Linked DNA regions of Oreochromis niloticus. The protein of the gene in region 1 interacts with the protein of each later gene in a pairwise test. Links are inferred from orthologs where the notes say so. Each region holds a gene or a part of one and is shown in the gene's direction. Other genes may lie near its edges.

Evidence for each region.
Region 2: the proteins of appl2 (region 1) and cradd interact in binary tests that used the Homo sapiens proteins (3 or more experiments, as listed by UniProt). The two-hybrid records come from large-scale screens. The link is inferred for Oreochromis niloticus from reciprocal best matches to the Homo sapiens genes APPL2 and CRADD.
Region 3: the proteins of appl2 (region 1) and rab5c interact in binary tests that used the Homo sapiens proteins (3 or more experiments, as listed by UniProt). The two-hybrid records come from large-scale screens. The link is inferred for Oreochromis niloticus from reciprocal best matches to the Homo sapiens genes APPL2 and RAB5C.

What each region holds. Positions count from the first base shown.
Region 1 is NC_031972.2:47,236,116-47,243,127, reverse strand, and holds the start of appl2 (DCC-interacting protein 13-beta), read left to right. Parts: upstream 1-3,942; 5' UTR 3,943-4,202; coding exon 4,203-4,259; intron 4,260-5,746; coding exon 5,747-5,845; intron 5,846-6,435; coding exon 6,436-6,495; intron 6,496-7,012. UniProt on the Homo sapiens protein: Multifunctional adapter protein that binds to various membrane receptors, nuclear factors and signaling proteins to regulate many processes, such as cell proliferation, immune response, endosomal trafficking and cell metabolism.
Region 2 is NC_031981.2:22,776,356-22,783,935, forward strand, and holds the start of cradd (death domain-containing protein CRADD), read left to right. Parts: upstream 1-4,579; 5' UTR 4,580-5,481; coding exon 5,482-5,779; intron 5,780-6,675; exon of another isoform or gene 6,676-7,580. UniProt on the Homo sapiens protein: Adapter protein that associates with PIDD1 and the caspase CASP2 to form the PIDDosome, a complex that activates CASP2 and triggers apoptosis.
Region 3 is NC_031969.2:26,577,426-26,584,702, forward strand, and holds the start of rab5c (ras-related protein Rab-5C), read left to right. Parts: upstream 1-4,227; 5' UTR 4,228-4,367; intron 4,368-7,277. Other genes in the region: kcnh4a (potassium voltage-gated channel subfamily H member 4a), read left to right, coding at 123-161, 597-952, 1,041-1,120, 1,260-1,333, 1,532-2,488. UniProt on the Homo sapiens protein: The small GTPases Rab are key regulators of intracellular membrane trafficking, from the formation of transport vesicles to their fusion with membranes.

The sequences.
Region 1 (7,012 bases):
GTGAACACGTGGAACCACAAAGGGTCGTGCATAGGCCTCTTTATAGCCCCGAGTGATTCTCAGAGCATCTCTGTTCTTCATTTCACTCACGATGTATGCGCTTGAAATGCAAGAGCAGTCACATGAGTAGAGTATGATGGCAAGAAGCATTACATTAGCACTCTGCACCAGTCAAACCAATTCACACTTTCTGTTAGCGGTGTTATCTATATTATCATGGGAGTCGAGATTTTTAAAATTCAAATGAGACGTTTCCAGAGGAAAAAAAAAAGACATCATAAATTCTCTTTCTGTTTTATGCTAGATGGACTCATTTCCACAGGCCTGAGATGCTTCTTATGTGTAGATGAACTGATGTGTGAGACTAATTTTATTTAAATTTCTCATACACAATTACAAGTGTCTAGAAGAAAAAGAAGGCCTTGTGTGCAGTAAAGTCAGTCTTAAACTGTTGTGCACAATCCATTGCAATCTGAAGTAAAATACATTATAGGAAAAATGCTTTCTCGCCTCATGCTTGCTCTTTATGTGCGCCGTGAGAGGACTGATGACACTGCCATCTGTCAGTTCATTGTAAAACTGGCAGCTGGTTAGCTTAACACAGTCACTGAAAACGGGAGGAAACAACTATACTGGGGCTCTATCCAAAGGTGGGCTGCAAAAATCAGCTTTGGACCTGATTCACCTCCTTACACAGCAAGAGCTGATGGCGTCTGTGAGGACGCAGGGCGTAAGAGATCCTGTGGAAGTCAGCGGCCACTTGGAATGGTTTGCTGCTACCACAATGAAGGAGTGCAGAATGCCACGGAGCCCCCCCACAGCAGCTTCCACCTGCTTGGATGTACTTCCAAGCTTTGGTGAGCTACTATCAGTTGCAGCTCAGACTGAACAACTTTTCTCCTAAAAGAACATATTTCTGTACCTGTCACTGTTAGCCACCCACACAGAGAATCATAAAAAGGTGACCTTGAGTGGTAAAGCATCTGCATGAAATTCACCACATCCAGTCTTTGTGGCACACAAGAGCAGGACAGAAGGTACATTTTAAACGTCTGGGGGTGAACTGTCAGAAAAAGTCTCAACACAATCTGATCAAGAGATCATCATGGATGGTTGACCTTAGGCCATGTAAATAAGTAAGCATTGTCTAGTTATATAGCAGTGTTCAAGATCAAAAGTCACAAATTAAGACATAACAATTAAAACAGTATAAAGTGATTAAACTAATAAAAGGTGATTGTAGGGAGGTGGGTCCAAATCTCCTCTTGTCTTTAACTTTGATCTAGGTGCAGCCAGCAAGCTGATCTCAGAGATCTAGCAATTGCATGTGGATGATGTAGAAGACTAGTAAGTCCAAATCCAGGACATCTGATTATGAAGCACTCTAAAGGCGATAACCACTACTGAACCCTAAATTTTACCAGCATGAAGAAGCTCAAATCGGCGTCACAATGGACCTTATAGAAGACCCGGTGAGTAGTTTCGTAGTAACATTGAGAACCGATTTAGGAATAATTTCCTCCAGCAAAGCAATAATGAATTACATTAATCGAGGTGTGAGAAACAAAAGAATGAACGGCCATTTCCAAATCGCACTGAGACACAATATATGTGTCAATAAATGTGACACGATATATATTAACACCCAGGCATAAGCTAAGCAATCTGCTTCTTAACAGCTGTTTTAAATGTATGTGAAAGGATCTGTATGACTAGTCTGTGGGATGGTTACCGGGCAGAGGTACGAGTTGAAAGCAAAGGATCTTCTGGATAAAAATGCGTCAGTATTTCAAAAGATGTCTGTCATCCCCTTTATGTTTGTAGAAGAAGTTCTAAAAGTTTTGGTGCTCGTCTGACTTTTGCTTTGGCACCTTAACAAGGTTTATAACTGCATTATCTGTGAGAAAGCTTGACAGAGGGATAGTGATCACATTTACCTCATGAACATGAGTGTAATTATTTTATATCAACAAAACTGACATACTCTCAGTCTACTTTGCATTTACACTTAGTACTTAGCACTATTTAGGAACTGTTAGAAGGCTAACATGCTAAAATTAGTATGGCTAATACAACTTTTAAGGTATGTTTTGACTAGGTGGGCTTTACTTTAGCCCTAGAAAAGCAAAGATTATTAACTGTACGCCAGATACAATGCAGCTTGCTCCTTTCAGGGTGGTCTTTAGCTGAATCACTCTTTTATTTAAAAGAGGCTATCCAGACAATACCCATTGCTGTTTTACCAGACTTCAAACATAGTTCATTATCAAAGTTAGAGCTGAAAAGCTTTGTCTGATTTACAGCCACAACTATACCAATTAAACAAGGCAAGTCCACTGGGGAGCGAAGAATGATCTCCCACTCAGGCCGCCTGGAAGCTTGATGAAGAGGCACTGCTTGTCACAGCTTGCCTAGATTATCAAGGCACAACACAACATGACATGGCCATCCTAACAAGTCAACAAGACAGTTATTCAGATTGGAAAAAATGTAAAATACTACACGAGTGCATATTACATGCTGTCTTCTTACTGTGCCACAGCCTAATATAGCAGGATTTGTTTTAGGTTTTTAGGTTTTAGGGCTGATGTTAATACAGATTTTTATAGAGAGAAAAAAACAGTGAGTACTCTTATATTCATTATATCAAAGTTATATAAAGGTTTAACTTTGCAAAGGTTTATTTCTCAAACTACCTGTTAGGACAAAACAGTAAATATGTTTTAGTTGTTGTTTTTGTTTTACTTTGTATAGCCTTTGCAGTAATTGCGATTTAATTAGAGAGCCAGAAACTCAGCACATCACATGCTCAGCCAATTTGTCAGTTGCGATTGATGCAAAGCAAGACAGAGCTTCTGGTCCTGATTACTTACCAGACTAAAATGTAATTTTAAAAGGTTTGTGCTACTTATCACCATCCATTGGTTTACATCCATTTATCTCTCAATAAATACTAACTGCTTCCTTATATCAATCAACAATCCTTTTTTGTTGTTGGTGGGGTTTTTTTGTTTGTTTGTTTGTTTATTCCTCAAAGTAAAGGAACATTTTATTTTGTAATGAGTGGAGTGAGCTGTTCTGGGGTAATAGTGCCTCCATCCATATGGCATGAATTGCCACTAAATGGATTGATCAGTATAAATTTTATAGAAATGTTATGTTATCTATACCCAGCTGAGCATCTATGGAAGACATTGGTCCAATAAATCAGACAGTGCTTTCTCCCACCACTTAAACAGGACTCCAGTAGAGTTCAGTGGCGCACTAATGTTTTTCTACTGGCACATGATGATCCATCTAGAGGTTAGGATAGGTATCAGATTGATACTTTGTTCCTATCCTCTAAGTTCAGTACGGAGCATACTGAATTGGGATACATTATTTATGTTTTGTTTTCTTTTTTCTTTTTTCTTTTTTTGGGGGAAATGAAAAAATATCCGCTATGAAAAATGTCTGAACCCTTTTGTGTTGACTGTCAAATCTATTTTTATAGCCTATAGCACATTTAAACAACAGTAAATAGAGAGAGGGGAACATTTAGAATTCTGAAAAACCAAATTTCCAAATACATGAAAAACTGAAAGGTGTGTTTGTTTTATTAAACTCATTAAAATGGGTTCAGAATTTGTCAATTAAGGAGGCTTTATCTCATACAACATGACACTGCTCTCCCCTACGTAAGCTTTATAGCTTTAAAGCGTGGTATCGGCAGTAGTTGCTCTTTATTTACTTGATATTACATCGATACTAAAAATTGTAGTACTGCACAGCACTGCATTTCATCACCTCACGAAGAAACTTTGTGTTGTTTTTCCTTTAAATTTTTTTAAAACCCTATTTGAAAAATCAATGCTGCAATTCTTTATGTGACCACACGGGGTCACTGTTGACATTAGAATGTCCTAGGATACTGTAAGTCGCCATTATCGCCGACGCTTTGCCGTAAATAATTAGGATAAAATCAACTTAAACACTGAACTATATATATATATCTATATGTATATATCTCTATATGTCTTTAAACAACCTCAGAGTTTGAGGATGTTTACTCTTACTGGTCACCAGCTGTTAGATGACATCATGACTGGGCCTGCTACCAATTGCATACGGGCTTCTCTTTTTCGCGCAGTAGTGTCTGGGAAATTGAGTCCGTACTCTAAATAATTCAAGCCCTCGTTCCCTTCTCCTGCACAGCTAACAAGATGCCGGCCGTACATCACAAACTGCTCCTGGAGGACGCTTTACAGGACAGTCCTCAGGTAGGCCTGCGTCTCTTTTCTCATGTTTGTGTACCCAGCTGTCTCATTAAAGGCGTTACGAGCGCCGAAGTTAGCTTAGCCCAGACAGTATCCAGTACCCGTTGTAGTCTGTTTCCACTGGTCGATGACAGTTCTCAATTGACACATTGTTACAAGAATTGTAATCCCCCTGTGAGCAGTAGCTGCACCTTCAAGTCATTTCTACAGCATGTCACGGTTATGTGGATTTTTTGTGTGTCTCCGTTGTATTTACAAAGCTACCGCCCTTCTCAGGGATTCCATCTCTCTCCCAGAGATGATTTATCTGGTGTACATCCAGACCTGTGTCAGTCACAACCATATAGCTCCACCAGACTCGGTGTCCTGCAATCGTTTTATTTTCTAATGCCGTGAAGTTATTTTGATCTAAATTCTGTTCTGTAGCCCTTCTGGGCCTGATTCCCAGGATGTGGGAGGGGTTTCCATTATCGGACTCCCCTGGAATTAGTCAACAGTCTGCAAACAGGGCAGTGTTACTGCAAAAATAACATGCCAAATTTTTACAGGGTACAAAACGCTTACACTGTGTACAAGTTATTCACCGAGTTCGGCATTCATTTTCATGCATGACCGTGGGTGATGAATTCTGTCCTTGCTACATCTAATGCATCCTGTTTTCTGTAGTCTGTTGCATCACTCTTCCTCTAAAGAGGGCTGACCTCTTTGGAGGTTCTGCTTAAGTGTAACCCACGCTGGAGGGTCACTGTCTGCTTAGTGGTTTCCTTCCTCAAAACAAGACATGTACCTGGCATCTTTGTACAGTAACACACACATACAGCCAAGCGTCATGATGTCTTGTTGGTGTGAAATGACTCATGGTCCTTTTATTGGATAAGTCAGCTTGAGTGAACTGTAAACAGACTTCACTCTCTGGGTGTGTTCCATTCTGCTTGAACTGCCCTACCTTGCTGCACCTGTTTATGGAAAACACTTCACCAGACAGGATTTTGTCTGTTTGCATATCCACCCTGCAGTAAAATACGTATGCCTTTAGTTTAACTTTAAGTTTTGCTTGAGTATAATCCGGCTACCCACATTTCTTGAGCTCAGTGACTTGTGTAGATTTTCATCTGACTTAAGGTTAAGACCAGTATTTATCATCGGAAGTACTTGTTTATTTACAGTATATCTGTTCTTCTGGGGGGTTTTTTTTTTTTCATTTTCATTGGTCAGAAAACAGTTTTAAAAGTTCCCATTACAACTTTCCAGGATGCCAGACTTTCATATGGGTTTTCATGCAAATCTACCACAACAAAAAGCCACAGTGATATTTTTCACCTTGTGAAGTAACTGAGATCAGTTATCAGAATATTTAAGTTCTGTAAGTTAGTGGGAAAATTGTTGGATAAGGTTTTTCTAATTATTTCACTTTGTGCTCAGCTATTCATGCCATTATAGTGTTCATCAGAAGAGTCTGTAATGTTTTTGTTTTTTCCCCTTACCCACAGACTCGCTCTTTGCTCAGTGTGTTTGAGGAAGATGTGGGAATGCTTACAGACTACACCAACCAGCTGCTACAATCAATGCAGCGGGTGTTCGGAGCACAGGTACTAAAACAAATTACTGTCAGGCGCAGGCTTGCACTCCTTTCCATTTGCTGTTTGGAACAGAGCCACATGTTCAAACACATAATAGGAGATTTTTTTCCCCCCCTTACGTTTGTAGATGAACATGAGTTCTAATTTAACTTGCTGATTCTGGGTTTTGCATCACTGAACAGCAGCAGAGTGTTGTGTTTGGTTTGATTTGATTTAGGATGCCATTTGAGCTACTGTTTTTGATGAGAAACGTACCAAACTGTAACACCATACTCTCAGCCCCACAATGAAAATTTGTCTCCTGTAGAAATGGAGCAGAAAACATTTGGTGTAGAAGTTTGTTTTTGACCTATATTTACTTTGTGGTTAAAATGTTGCGTTATTAATGTAACCCTGGTTCTCTGAGGTATCTCATTATTGAAGGTGCCCTCTGGTGTTTTCGCCAGCTTTTCAACAGATATTGAATCGCATTGCACCCAAAAAACATTTTTTTATAAATGTTCTCAGTAAGTGAAAAAATGCATGATGTTTGAGCTTGAAGGAGTAATCAGTCCTTTTTCTTAACATGTATTTATTTTCCTTCTTTCGTTCCACCACAGAGTGAGATGGGACTGGCCACAGAGCAGCTCTCAAAGCAACTTTTGGAATACGAGAAGAAAGTAAGTAGGGTTCATATGCTTACTTAATCGTGTGATTGCACAAAAAAGACAGAAGCCTGTGTTATGAGTACTGTCCATGTGGGCTATAGACACTTTTTATCATTTTGATCTGAACTTTCTGTTCGTGTGTGAGTTTGCATGTGTCCTTCCTCCTGTGTGCAGCAAAAAAAGCCTTGGAGGAGTGCACCTCCTTTGGCAATGTAGCCAACACAAATCTATTAAATCATTTAGAGAAACATATGTGGATAGTTGACCTTTGTTGGTAGACTTTGTTCTGGATTGCAGGGTGAATGTGAACAAAAACAGCAGTGATCTGTAACTGCAGAACTTTTTTAGCACTCTTATGATTAAAACTCAGCATCTTGACTTTAACTACTGGCTTTATTACCATCTTTGACCTTGTCTGTGTTTTCTACCATGACCCAGATGACCGAGAACCTACACAGATATCTTTGGCCTTGTTTAATGAAAGGGATGTGCCAGAAATCCTGGCAGAACAGGGTGGTTATTTCAAATT
Region 2 (7,580 bases), on another chromosome or scaffold:
GCTCTCAGGTGTGTCTGCAGATGAATCACAGATGACCCTGTAGATTAAAAAAAACAGGTTTGGAAAATATTCCCTTAAAATTAGGGCTGCAATTAAAGATTGGTAGTTGACTAATCTGCCAATTTTTCTTAAATTGGTCAACGATTAGTTCAGTAACTCTTGTCTCTGTGGGCAAACCTGTTCTAGGCTCCAGGACCTCACCTTCTCAGGTCTGCCCACCTGTGAATGTCATCCTGTTGTCTCATTCAACAGCAAATTTAAATAATTACCCAGGAAGCACGTGAATTTGAAAATAATCAAATGTATCTTTAACATTACTATTAGGACAGTCGGAATAAAAGTGAAGTGAATAAAATATTAAGTAATATAAATTAAAGTGCTACTTTAAACAAGAGTGGGAAAAAATATAACAAATTTTTTCCATAAGCTCAAAGCTTTAAATTAAATTTAAAATTTTTTTTTTTTTCAGGTTCAAAATAACCAGTTTGAAGATTATTCATGGAGTAAGGCTCGCTCTTGTCTTTAAGATGATGTTCACAATTGCTGATAAACATGCTGAAGATGCTTTCTGTCATGACTTCAGCGATTTGAGAGGTGCACCAGCCTCTTTTCAGAGGTTTTACTGGTTTGCTATCGGTTTTCACTCATTGGCTAGCGAAACTTAAATGCTTCATCATCCTGAGAAGTTTCTGACCGGTAAACATAAACATTACTGTACAAACATGAACAAGGTATCAATGTGACGCACTGACTTAACTCTCAATAATGGACTCATCAGAGCTGATGTAACAGCTCCAGGGTGGCAGCGTTTTAAATGCTTGTGCACTGCTGTCGTGGAAGGAAAGCTCCGTTTTGCACAGTCTGGTTTAACTGTTTAATTTCTGTAAAATACTTGCACTCTTTTTTTTTTTTTTTTTTTTTTTTTAAATCTCCCTTTCAATTTACTTCTGTCATCCACTTTTGCTGTTTACACGATGTGCTTCTTCATTAGTAGTGAGTCCAGTCTTGCCAGATGATAGCAACATTACTGCCCCCGTAGCTTCCTGTAGTGTATTGTCGTTATAAAAACACATTCATGTGGTTTTACTATATGATGCGTCACAGTCAACTTCAATTGTAGCAGGCCTACTTAAAATGGCTTTTTTTTTTTTTTTTTTTTTTTTTTAAATGGAGTCTGGTGTGAGAAGAAAGTAAACACAGCAAATTGTGGGGGCTTGGCTTCATGGGTTACTAGCTTTTCACTTTATTTCAAATTTAAAGTAAACAGTGGGTGTCGAGAAGCTGGCCAATCAGAAGACAGTATGCTTTTAAAAGACGAGGACTGAAATGACTTAACAAAATAAGTAAAAACAAATATTAACTTTATAGTTATTATATAATGTGTTTTTGTTTTTTTATTTGTAAGATTTTAAAATAAAAGGTAAAGTAAATAAGCTTTGAAAATATGGAGGGAAATACAAAGGCAAAAAAGAACAGAAACAAAACTAAAATATAAATGATTATTTTTATTTAAAATATTTTTAAATAAATTCAAAAATTGAAGAAAACGTAAATTAAATAAATGGAGGTATTAATATAAAATGAGACAAAATGTCCCATCTCATAACTTCATTATTTTGTGTGGGGTTTTTTTTTTTTTTTTTTTTTTTTAAATGGTTTTGTGCACAGTTTTGGCGATGTTGTACCTCCATATGTGACCTCTTTCAACTTGGTCACAGAAATTTAAGTGTTGAAACATGAATATTAATCCATTATTGATTAACCTTTTTTTCACATTTTTAAATATTTATTATTGATCAAGTTAGTAATTGTTCCCATTAAGTTATTGTTTGATCAGTAAAAAAATATATACAAGAACAATTCAACAGTTTGAAGAAGCCTGAACCTGAAAATATTCTAAAACCAGTCAGCAGTTCCAGTGATTTTCTAATTGATCTTTTGTTTGATTATTTGGCCTCTTCATGATTTAAGTTTCTGTGAGGATTTCTATGGAAATAATTAACAGAAGGAAAACAAAAGCCAGGAAACAGAATAATTTTCCATTGTTCTCCACCAGTCAAAGCCTGTCAGTCCCACCTGTAAACACAAGTAAACAGAGCCCTGTGATTGGCCGATGGACAGCCTGTGACAGTGAACGCTGGTGAGGTGGAGAGTCGAGGTGTCCTCGTTGACGTTCTGAATGAAAACAAGCTGATGTCCCCCTCAGACTTTGTACCTGCATGTAGTAAATACTCAGTTTTCTTACTCTGTGATTGGCTCAGAGCTGCAAAGGTGCAGGACCTGTTAATGCCGTAGTAAGGAGACGGAAAGTCACACTTTCAAAGCTCAGTTCATCAAATAACCTCAGTCTGCAGCAATGAACCAGCTTCAGGCTGTGTGAAGACCTTCCAACCCAACTCGATTTAAAAGTCCCACATTTTTAGGACCAGTATCACGGTCTCCTAAATTCAGCACAGACACAAAGACCTGGTTAAAAAAATGTTTATATCTTTATTTTATTTTACCAGGAAGTCTCACTGACACCAAATCTCTAATTTCCAGCCCTTACTCAGGAAGGAACCTTTAACTACAATTCAGCCAAACTCAATTCAAAAATCAAAATACATCCTGCTGGTGTTAGTAGTTAGCTTTATGCCTCTTAGAAATGTTGTGATAGTCCGGTAATTTCAGCACCATCTTTGTTGTTGTTGTCGTCATATTCATCGGGGTTTTTCCTGCTTACAAAAAGTTCTTGTTTTAGCCCCAGTGTAAAAGAAAAATCCCCAGGAATGTGGTGCAAGCGGGTGTGATTTGGATTAAACAGTCTTAGTCTCAATTATGTCTCCAGCCATCATGCTTCCATGCGCTGTCGCCTCGTGGAAAACAAACCCGCTGAACCACCACGCTTCACAAACATGTTCAGTCACACCGACCTTGACCAAACCTCAGAAATTCAAATTCATTTTACATCTTTATGACTGACTGGACAATGTTTAACAACCCTGATCAAGCCCTATTAAAAAGCTTTTGCGTTTAGGATTCATATACACCCACCAGTGTTGATGGTTAATGCTTTAACCAAACTTCATTCAAAAATTGCATGTTTTTGGGGGGGCCTGCGGAATCTTGTGGTTGTCTCATTAATCCAACAGGCATGCAAGCAAGCATGCAATTTAATAAAAAAAATAATTTAGTCATGAATCCAACCTGTTTGTTACCATAGAAATGGGGGTTACACAAGTGACTGTCAGAAATTTACAGTTTTAAAGGGTTACGTTTTTACCCAGTTGTCCCTGATCGAGGACGGGGCGTCGACGCTGCATGCTCACGTTCTGTCACCTTTCTTTAAAATCATCTTCAAACATCCAATCACAGCTCAGCATCGGCCATGTTGGGGTTGTTCTTCCTGTTCTACAGGAGAAGGGGCAGAGCTGTGTGGTTATGTAGCTGATCAGGTAAACAGGGTGTGTCGTGTGTGTGTGTGTGTGTGTGTGTATAAGGAGGGCCAATCAGGGTGTTTGATTGTGCTTCAGCCTTGATATCTGACCAGTTCCATGATGAAGATGACAAAGAGCAGCTGAATTAAACATGGATGTGCCAAGCAGGCGAAGCGTGTGCGCGTTCCTGTACATATCGCAGCCCCTGTGATTTGATAAAGTATTTATTGATCATGTCTGTGTTTCTGAAGCATGTAAAAGATGAACTGATCAGCTCCCACCAGGAGATCAATAAATTTTATATGGTGCCTCATCAATAACGTCTCACTGCTGCTTATATTTCATGCTGTTATTGATTCACATCCACAGGACGAAACAGGACAGGTGTGTGTGTAATAAATGTTTTTTTTTATCATTTATTGAGAGGAAAAAGCTGAATATCTTCATTAACAATGAGACTTTTAAAAAAGTATAATACAAAGAAACAAATGATGCTAATAAAAGCTCTGTTAAATTTTGTTTCTCTGGGTTAGTTTATGAAGGCCTATTCTTTATGGAAGCCAGAACAGTCATAATTGTTGTTGAAGTTCATTTAGCAAGAACTGCTGCAAGTTATTCCATCCATTTTCTAGATTTGTAGAAATTACAAAAGTTCATGATTAAAACAGATGAAACTTCCTGGTCCTTTAAATTAAAGATGTAAAAATTGAGATTCTTTTTCCCCCACATTTTTAAATGTGCAAATGAGACATTGTACAGTAGTCAGCTTTATGAATTTGTCTCAGTGTACCGTGTTTTATTTTGTGGCTATGTATAAATTATTGATGTTTTTCCTTTTTGATTTTTCTTATTGATATTTCTTTTTAGAAGTCTTTAAACACACCACGCTGTGTTTTGCAAAATTTATTTCAACAGATCATAGAGGGTTCATTTTTGGAAGGACATTAAATCCAGAAACAGGATTAATTTAAAAACATATTACATACATATTTGCAGATTTATCAATAGAACCTCATGTCTGACTGGAAATTAAATCAGTAAAAAAAAAAAAAATCTCAGTGATGTCATTAAACGTGAAAAATAGAAAAATAGACACAAAACTCTGAAGTGTGAAAAAGGTTTTTAATTTCAGTTTAAATCCCCATCACTGCCAAATATATTTTAAAAAACACAACATGTTTTTTCATGTTGGCTGGCTGTACGAAGTTTATCCTTCAGTCAGAAAAACAGAAATGAAAGCACAAATAAACATATGAATCACATATTATCAGTAACAATGTCAAAAACAGATTCAGTTAACTGTAAATTGATCTTCTGAAAATAAAAGCTCGTAATAAAGGACAGTGTGACACGAGGTTTTGTAAACTCCATGGAAAATCTTTCAGTTTGGGAATTTTATGTTGAATTCCTAAATGTAAGTATCTGATAGAATAAATATATTAACTTCTTTGGTCAGATTGTGGCTTTTTAATGAATTCGGCAGATATTTTATAAACTTTATTTATTCTTTATTTATCTTGTATCTATAAAATTACCCTTGGTTTTAGCTCATGCTGTGTGTTAGCTAACGTTGCTCGACGCTCTGGTACGCTGAACCTAATTGAATACTTTATTTTTGAGGTTTCTTCGTGGATTTATTAATTATGAATATTAATCAGTAAAGTGGAACGCTCTGCGAGGCTTCTCACCGAACTTCGGCGTACATTTACGTCACCAGAAATCATCTTATCAGAAGCAATCTGCATAACATCTGTTTTCCCTCAAAGTTGATTTTATCTGGGGTAGAAACGCATGCCGAGTTTAAGATCGATGATTAACGAATCCTTCCACGCAAATAGTTCCCATAATTAACCACCAATCTAAGCAAATGCGATTGTATTGGCATGAAAAATGTGAAAGCTACATGATTAGCAAAGACTTTCGTTCCGCCTGCTTGTTTCCACCCGAGCACAAAAACACAGAGCAGTTGAAAGGTAGTTGTACGGGCGGTGAGCTGACACAAATGACTAGTTTAATGATGTGGAACTGCTTATTTATGTGAGCTAATTAGTCGGGTTTCGGTGAAATGGACCCGGCGCACAGAGCCGTCCTCCGAAAACACCGGCTGGAGCTGTCCGGCCAGCTACTGGTCAGCGACACCATCGTTCCGTTTCTGTACCAGGAGGAGATTTTAACGGACGCGCAGGTGGAGGACATCGAGTCCCGGTCCACGGAGAGACAGAAGACCCTCAGGCTCCTGGACCTCTTGCCAAGCCGCGGGCCCCGGGCCTTCCAGTCCTTCCTGCTGTCCCTGCAGGACTTCAGCTGGGTCCGGGACCTACTGCTGCAGGAGCTCCAGACCCCACCTGAACCCGGACCCACAGGTAAGACCAATCAGGGTGCGGTGGAATCATACGTCACTGCATAAACCCAGAAGTCTTGTTGGCAGAAACACGTGGCAGAGGTTACGTGTTGGCCTTTGTTTTAGGATCAGACGAGGGTCAGAGGTCACTGATGTTTCTCCATCCGGTTGTTCAGTCTGACGTCACTAGCCGTGTCTGGGCCTAAACTCCGCTGCAGGTCCATATATCAAACGATCACTGTGGCATTACTGAGAGTTGAAAAACTGTCTAAAGTCTTTCATCTTTAATAAAATGATCAGTGTTCTGCTCTACCAGGTGTAACAATTGAGTTTAACATCCAGGCATCCATGAAAATGGAATTTATGACATTTAACGGCGTTAGAAGTTAGCAGGAAGTTAGCTCGCTAGCTTCTATCTAAATACAATATAGCATGTCCTGGCTGCGGGGTTTTGGAAACAAATTCAAACGTACAGCTCTGCTATCACTTCCAACATAAATGAAGACAGAAAACTAAACAGCAGTGACGTTTGTAGGGTTACTGAAGTTTGGCTAGCTGGTATATAATGATGTGCTACGTGACCGCTAGCGACACAGCTATGTTAGCATAATATAAACAAACTAACTTTTTTTCCACTCGATAAAAGTTAACGTGAGTGTTCTCGGTGGTCAGGAACAAATGTAATCGCATGGCAGGATGCTGTAAAAGGACTAAACTTCAGCCAGGAGAACAACTGAGATAATCCATCCACAATACGAGGTTAGTCATTCATATACTGCTGCATGGGCTGTGCTGTAGTTACATCGTAAGGTTTTAAAAACTGAGCTTAAATAAATGATTAGCGGTAATAAAAGCCGAGGGAGGTCAACAGTGATCACTGACTGTTTTATGAGCTTTTTGAGATTAAATGGAAGAAAATACAAAACATTAAACATGTTAACAACACAAAAGCCATATTAAAGGCAGACTACTTTAGGCCCGGAAGTAGGATTCGTCACGTCATCACTGAACAACCGGATGGAGACTACATTCAGTGTGACCAGGTCCAAGTGTAAGACCACTTCACTTGGACCTCTGTAACCTGGATTACATCAAAGACTCTGACCGGGGTGACTGGGTCACATTTAATTCAACCAAACCTCATGGAAATATTGTCTGATTTTAGGACTGAACCATGAAATAATTCCCAGAAAATTAAAATTTTTGAAAATGGACAGTTTATTGAACCATCTATCCATCCATTACATTTTAATTTTTATACATGACTTTTAATTTGTATTGCATTTGTTGCATTTGGCTTTTTCTTTTTTTAAAAAAAATTGCTTAAAAATGGATAGTGCCATTTATTTTTAGGGGGAAAATCCCACTGATGATGTAGAAGTCTCAAAAACTCACAAAAAAATGTATGTTTCAAATATGATACACTATTTAACAGTTATTAAAATCAGAGGAGTCGAAGTGTTCGGCAGAACAAATTCTCCACTTAGAAAAATGGGAGCAGACTGGTCTGCTCCGAGGAGGTTTAGGATTATGCAGAATCAGCGTCATGTGAACGGGATCCCAAACATCCGGCTGGGAGGCTGCTATCAGGTTCCTGGAAACCAAGAGGGAGGCAATAAAAGGAGGAGGTGGACGAGGGAGCCCTGGGCAGGAAAACAAGCTCTTCCTCCTCCTCCTCCTCTTCTTCCTCCTCCTCTGAGTGGAGGGTTTTCAGCCTCTCAGAATCCTCTCGTTTTATTTTTATCTGAGTTTAGTTTCCCAGAATTTTCCCGCTGCAGCCGTTCTTGGATTCCGTGATTTTAATTTTTTTTTCCAGGAAAGTC
Region 3 (7,277 bases), on another chromosome or scaffold:
TTCAAATGCACCACAATTCAGAATATGGTGTACAAACATACCTATGCTATACGCGACACTTTACATGTTCAGTTTACAATGTGAGTGTAATGCTTTGTTCATTTTCACCTCCATACCTTTAGGGAGTAACACGGTTTCAGCTGACACCCAGGCAGTCTCAGGTATGTCTGCCTCATTAGGATGATTAATTTAGCCTTGACATGCTTGATACAGGCGTCAGCTAAATCTGTCTTAGCTTAAAGGATTAGTCAGCCTTGCATTGCATTTGAAAACTTAGAACTCTTGATAAATGTCATGTAGATATGAAAACACTTAAAATGCCTTTTTTTATAGCTGAGATAACAATGCTCCAGTTGCTGCTAGGTAACAGAGAGAAATGAAGCAAACAGCATACACTATATATGGTTTCTACACTCTAGTCATCAAGAAAAAACACTAAGCTTAATTAAAACTATCCTACAAGAGAAGTATTTCTGACACTATCAAGATCACTAGACTAAGAATTTTTGTAGCAAACAAATCTATTACCCAACCAAAAAGCATGCACAAATCTTTGCAATCAGCTTCATTGAGTTTTCCATCTGTTTTCTCCTCAGTTTATGGATCATAAACTACCCTATATCATTCAGGGAGCTGATGCAAAACACACAGACAACGTAAATTACTCTCAGCACCGGAGACTGCCTTTACTACAGAGTATGGGCAGCCCTGTCCATCAACCCTGCCTCAGCACGTTGCTAGGCGAGGAGCTCCGGCACATCAGCGCACTGCAGCTCTGCCGATTGCCTGCTCAGGGAAGCAGGGGTTGTAGTCCTTCCCCACAACCTTTTTTCAGTGAGGAGCTCTCTCCATCTCCTTTACCCAGTCTTACCAGTGACCTAGACTTGAACCATCGGCCTGCCAAACTCATGCCATCTGGTTCTTGTATTAGTCCTCTGAACCTCAGTCCCAGGTGACCTATTCATTCTCCTTTGGTCAAATATCAATAATCTGTTTGCATATATTTAAATGAATATAACACCCATTTGTCTTACTGTCAGGGTCGTGGATGGAATTGAGGATAATGATCACACATTTCAGTTTAATATGGAACAGAGCGAGGCAAAGACTAATGTTGCAGGTAAAGTGTCTGAAAACTGCATGATTAATGAGAAATTGTAAATATAAGCCTTTCTATTAAGGACTAGACATTAAATATAACCCAAAGTCGGGACAGATTAGATGAGTTTCTCACTTTTTAAAAAATAATCCTCTTTCAGATCGGTTACACGTCTGTAACCTGCTTCTTGAGACAGAAGAAATGAGACAGAGCGTCAGCAAACTGAGCAAAGAGGTATGTTCCCTTATTAGGCAAAAGCGCTGCTCCTTGAAATATGCCCAAATGTGTTTTGTGAGGACACAGTAACCTTTACCTTTGAACAAGAAAATCTAATCAGTTACAGCTTGAATTCATATCAACTTAACATGATAACAGTTACTAATAAACAGTTAACAGTTTTGAATAAAAAGTCAATTTTTCTCACTCTTTCAGGTAATTAACTTAAACCAAGATGTTTCCAACCTTGCCAAGGAACTCCATGACATAATGCATTTTCTGCATTCTCATATGACAATGCTCCACAATAACTCTCCAGCTTCCACATGTTCATGTGGCACTCAGGTGCTCCCCAACCCAAGTGTGACAACGTGTAGCCACTGGCAACCGGATGTCCCTTTAAATATCTCCACTGGGTTACCAACTGTTCATGAAATGATTAGCCATCCTGCTAGAAATACATGGCACTCCAGTGGAATACCCTCCCAGTGCACAAGTTCCGCCTTGCTGTACTCGTCAAGCACAATGCCATCCTGTTCACACCTGGGCTGCTCTGACAGAGACACAACTCAAAGGCTTCAGTGCTTCTCTAGCCCTTTCCAAACACCCAGAACATCTCCAGGCTCTCCCTACATGACCTTCTCTCATGCCCATGGAGGTCCATCCCTCCTGGGCATCAGTTCTGCCTTCAGTGGCTACCCATTAAGTTGTCAGGCCTCACACATGGTTAGTAGTGCACAAATCCACACAATAAGCAGCACCCACTCCTTATGTTCTACGGTAAACTGTGGCTACTCCCAGCCACCCCTAAGTGTTCAAACCAACTCGGATTCTTTACATAATCAGACCAAATCCCAGACACCTATCCATTTATCCACCACTCCTTCAGCCCAACCACAGTATCACACTGCCTTCAGCTCTTTGACGCCATCAAGAGCCCACACTTTGATATACACAGGATACGAGGACCAGCGAGGTACTGTCGAAGGCTCCAGACAGAATGATCCAGTAGGATCCAGTCCTGTCCACCAAACACAGGACCTGGCAAGTTCTCTGATGGAGCAAGTACCAAACATGGACTGCAAAGCTTCACTGTATAAAGAGAGGACAGAGACCATGGAGTCTCATTCCACAGGGGACAGCATTCTTGATATGAAAGAAAGGCCACACTGATGACATCCCTATCTGGTTATGCTATCAGTGAGTAAATAACAAAGCTGATGTAATGTTTAGAGTACCTTACCAAGAAATCTGGTGTGAAGTTTGAAATTAATAAATTGTTATTTAGCCAAATTCTCAATCAACTATTGGAATCCAACTGCCACTACAGAATAAACCTTTTTTTCCACTGATGGTTCTTGTGTTTTTATCTGGCATTAATAATGTTTGTGAATTCTGGTTGAGATTAAGGCATGGTCTGCATATATCATAGCTGAAGCAATCTTATTTTCAAGCCATACACTCTCACTCAAGCATTCAATGCAAAATTGTTTGACTAGTTATTCATTTTATTTGTTTATTTATTTTTTTCTATCAAGTGAATTGTCACTGCTGTATTCATCCACAAAATGTTTCCAGGGTTGACTTAGAAGCCACAAGTGGATGGGCAGCACCCCTGAGTGGTGATATGTCGTTACTACAACAAACACAAGACTGACATTTCGTCACACTGAGCTCAAAATAACTGATCTGAGTCAGATATGGCCTTTTGGAGCCACAACCAAGCTTTTGACCTGTAGAATGATGTAAAATATTCCTGAAACATGTTAATCATATTTGACCAATCTTGGTCCAACCAACCTGGCATATAGCAATGACATTTTCTACAGACTGCTGAAAAACCTTGATATTGTTATTCATTGGTAGTATCATGGCAGATATATTTATGTCCATGTGACTCTTTAGCATTTAACAACAATTCTGAAATTAATAATATACTGAGGGGCATCATGTAAGATTTTGTGTCATTAGTCCAAGCAAAGAAGGCCATTCTTTCACTATTAATTAATCTTTTGTTTTGAACATGTAAAGATGCAAGAAGAGATAGTGAAAGTTGGTGAGTTTAACAATGAACAGTGCCCATTAGTGGTGAAGAAAAATGAGTAGGCAGGTTAGAGTGGGTGGAAATGAGTGACAGGTGATTTGTGACAGAAGGATAGCAACAAAAGTGAAAGGAAACATTTACAAGATGTTAGTGTTTGGAGATGGTGGCACTTACAAAAAGGCATGAGGTTGAGCTGGGGGTGGCAGAACTGAAGATGCAAAGATATTCATTGGGTTGTAACCAGGATGGACAAAATTAGAAATGAGTATATCAGAAGGACAGCTTAGATTAAGTGGCTTGGATACAAAGTTAAAGAGGCAAGGATGTTTTGGACATATATAGAAGAGGATAGTGGATATACTGGGCAAACACTGAGCTGCCAGGCAGGAGGAGAAAATGAAGCCCACAGGAGAAGATTCATGTAGTGAAGAAAGATATGCAGAGGATTAGTGTGACAGAGGAGGATGCTAGGGATAGGGTGATGTGGCGGCAGATGATGTGGCGACCCCTAAATGAAGAAGCCAAAGGAAGATGAAAATCATACATACAGTTCGACATTGGAGACATCACAAGGATCATTAAAAATATTAGTAAAAATTTAAAAAGGATCCTTCTTTATGAAAGCAGCTTCCAAGCTTATCCCAAGCTTATTAAAAATATTACGCTAAACAAAATTTGTTACAAATTTTCACGCCATTTGAAAAGCACAAGTTTTATTGTCAGTGTACATAATTTTCATAAACACCATATCATTATATTATAATTATATTCAAATTAACATCATTTAAGATGTTATTTATGACTAGATATTATAAAACCTTGATAAAAATGCCGTGCTGCGGACTGGAGGGTCTAGCGTAACCCGCTGTCCTCATTGGTCAGAAAGCCACTGACAAAAAGTGGGAGGTTCCCGGAAAAATTGCTAACCGGAAGGGAAGGCCGGAGCCCAAGAAGAAGAAGAAGAAGACAGCTGCTGCCGATGAGACCAGCGAAGGAAGAAAAAGTAATGTAAGTAAAACAACTTGAAATTAAGAGTCATGTTGGTGAAGAGCAATACTGAACGTGTGTTGGATTATTTTGTCGACAAACTGTTTACTATAGTTTGATCTATTTTGTTATTATTATTTTTTTCTGCTTAGCATATCAGCCAAGTCCGGGCTCAACCGAAATGCCTTATCAGAGTGGATCGAGGGGAGCTACGAGCTGCCCTGTGGGACAAACATTCTAAATATTGAAAAAAATATTAATGCCACGGCAGAGCCCTGAGGTTGCTTAGAAAAATATGACATCGTTTCATGCCAGCAAGTGGACGCAATAAGAAGTCCCGGAGTTTCTCAAACGTCAGACGGCTGACGACACAGGGCCGAGAAAAGGAAAGTTGTCTAATGACGCTTTCGACTTTTGGCCATAGCTGCTAACACAGCTAATGCTATCAGAAGTCAAGTTTCCTTGCCAAGAACATAGCCTTTGTTTTCTTTGTCAGTTTAGGCTAGCAAATGGGTGCTATTGCCAAGTAAGCAACAAGGTTGATTCTTTCACGTTGTGTAGTCAGCGTTAATTTTGTTAGCCAAGTGCTTAGTGGAACTCACAAGTTACAGTTGTGTCGTCTACGTTAATGATAGCGGTTCCTTATCGCACCTAAATGTAACGTACCGTTTTAGCCAAGACAGGTGCATTGTTGTTTGATAGTTATTTTATCGATTGTTTTGAAGCAAGCCTTACCTTTACAGTTTAAGTTGCCTTATCATTGTGCTTAACCCGGCGTCGACCGAGCAAAACTTCTCACTTACTTTGAAATATTAGTTGTAGATTAACTAACTTAATATGTTACGTTCCTGCCACCGGTTAAGTGTTTAATAACTGGTTTTATGTGCGAGGTCTAGGCTCAGTCGAGGCACATCACAGTCGTCTTATGTTCTCTAAATTAGATGTACTATCAAGGCAGCTGTAATCTCTTTTCACAATCTTGTGCTTTTTATTATCAGTTGCATTTGTGCATCACATAGTGTGACAGAGTAAATGTGCGTACATAGTCTCTTGCTTACCTCTGAAGTTGTATTTATGGCAGTGCCTTCTCATCATTAAAATGTCATTACTGCTGACTTTGTGGTGTAACATCCGCATATTGCATCGTTGGGGTTGTTATGTGCCTGCACGTGTGTCTTCTTGCATTTAACAGCAAATACTTTTTTTGTATGCTGTGTATCTTCACAGTGTATGTTTATGGCTTAATAAGGGGAACGGAGCTTGGCCTTTGAGACAAAGATGTGATTTACAGTTGCTTGCCTGAGCTCTCATGTTTATGGCATGTGGACCTTGTCCTTCTTAAACAGCCACTCTTTTTGACAACCCAGCCCTAAAATAAAGGAGGACTGCAAATTAGTTGAACACTAGTATGGATAACATTTGGGTGCTATGTTTTGGCATTGCCTTTAAAGTTGTAAGTTGTTGTAGTTAAACGGACAGCTGGATCTACTAAGTGTCACTCAATCAACTAGACTCCATTTTTGAGTAAATCTGTGTAAAGGATCAAATATCAAATCCCATTATTTAACAATTCACTTAAAATCATTTGAAGTCATAAAGGGGACAAAGTCTGTTTTAAACAATTTGATGAGATAAAAGGTCTCAGTTTGGGATCCATCTGACCATCCATACAGATATGATTGTATTTTTCATTTCAGTTAGATTTTAAGAGAGCTTTCTTTTTTCTTATTGCTATAATTTTGGTAGGTAAAGATCTGACCTCTGGCTAATGCTGATTTTAGGCTTAGTGACTAAGGTTTTCACTCATTCATCACAATAGGGGGGGAAAGTGCCAGTGATGCTCGTGATGAGTGTGGTGTTTGCTTTTCCTGTATTGTGTCCACACATTCCCATCTAAAATCACAATGCCAAAGCTATTCTTTGTTTTTAACCCCCCCAAACTGTAAAAGAACCTATCTTGGATTCAGAGCATTTCCTGTTTCTTTCGAGTTCCCAAGTATGGCGCTGCTTTTCAATCTTTGTTTACAACCTAGGACAAACTATTACCTTTGGCGGCAATAGATAGGCCTTTAATATATGCTCATGTGTCCATGCAAATTTGGACACAGCCATCTGTACAAGCAGATGAGATTATAATCAAAAGACAAAAGTATGGTCATGCAGCCCCTCATCAGATACCATTTTTGCACGACCCCACCCTTCAAATAAAGTGAACTGCACATGTCTCTGCTTGCCTTCTTAATTACAGTGTTTTGGTGGCAGGTTGTTAATCTAGTTTATAAATTGAATGTGAAAGTGATTTTCTTTTATTAAAATCTAGTCTGAAGATCATACTGTCCAAGCAAACCAAAATTTATTAATTACAAAATGTCATTTTTAATTGTGTGACCAGGAATGGAGGATTAATCCTGTTATTTTCCTTCTGCAAATATGGTCTTCTGAGAAATGGTGTTAGGGTGTTAGGTGACACCTTGTTTTCTGCATAAGAAGAGCCTCGATGATGCACTAGTACAACAATACAAAATCTTCAAATCTAGCAGTCACAAAAACACTTGTAAACTGGTCATAGCAGCTGGTAACCTGATCTTTCTGCTTAATTTTTCAGTATAACTAATGTTTAACGATACCTAGAGTTTGTTCACGGAGCAAAAGCAATTAAAAAAATGTTTTCATTACTTCTTTGACTGTTTAAACGTATTTCATTTGTGCATGCATTCTCCAATTTAGATTGCAATAAACCGCAATCACTAAGTTCTTGGATATTATGCCAGCAGCAGAACATACAAGGGGGCCACAATAAATATTTCACAGCCTCTCCCTCTCGTCTGTTGCTTTTTCCTGCCTTTTCTCCTCCCCCTCTGACCTATGTCCCACTGTCTCTCGTTCCCTGACCCACTTCCCTGTGGAGGTTTGCAGTACCCATTAGGGATG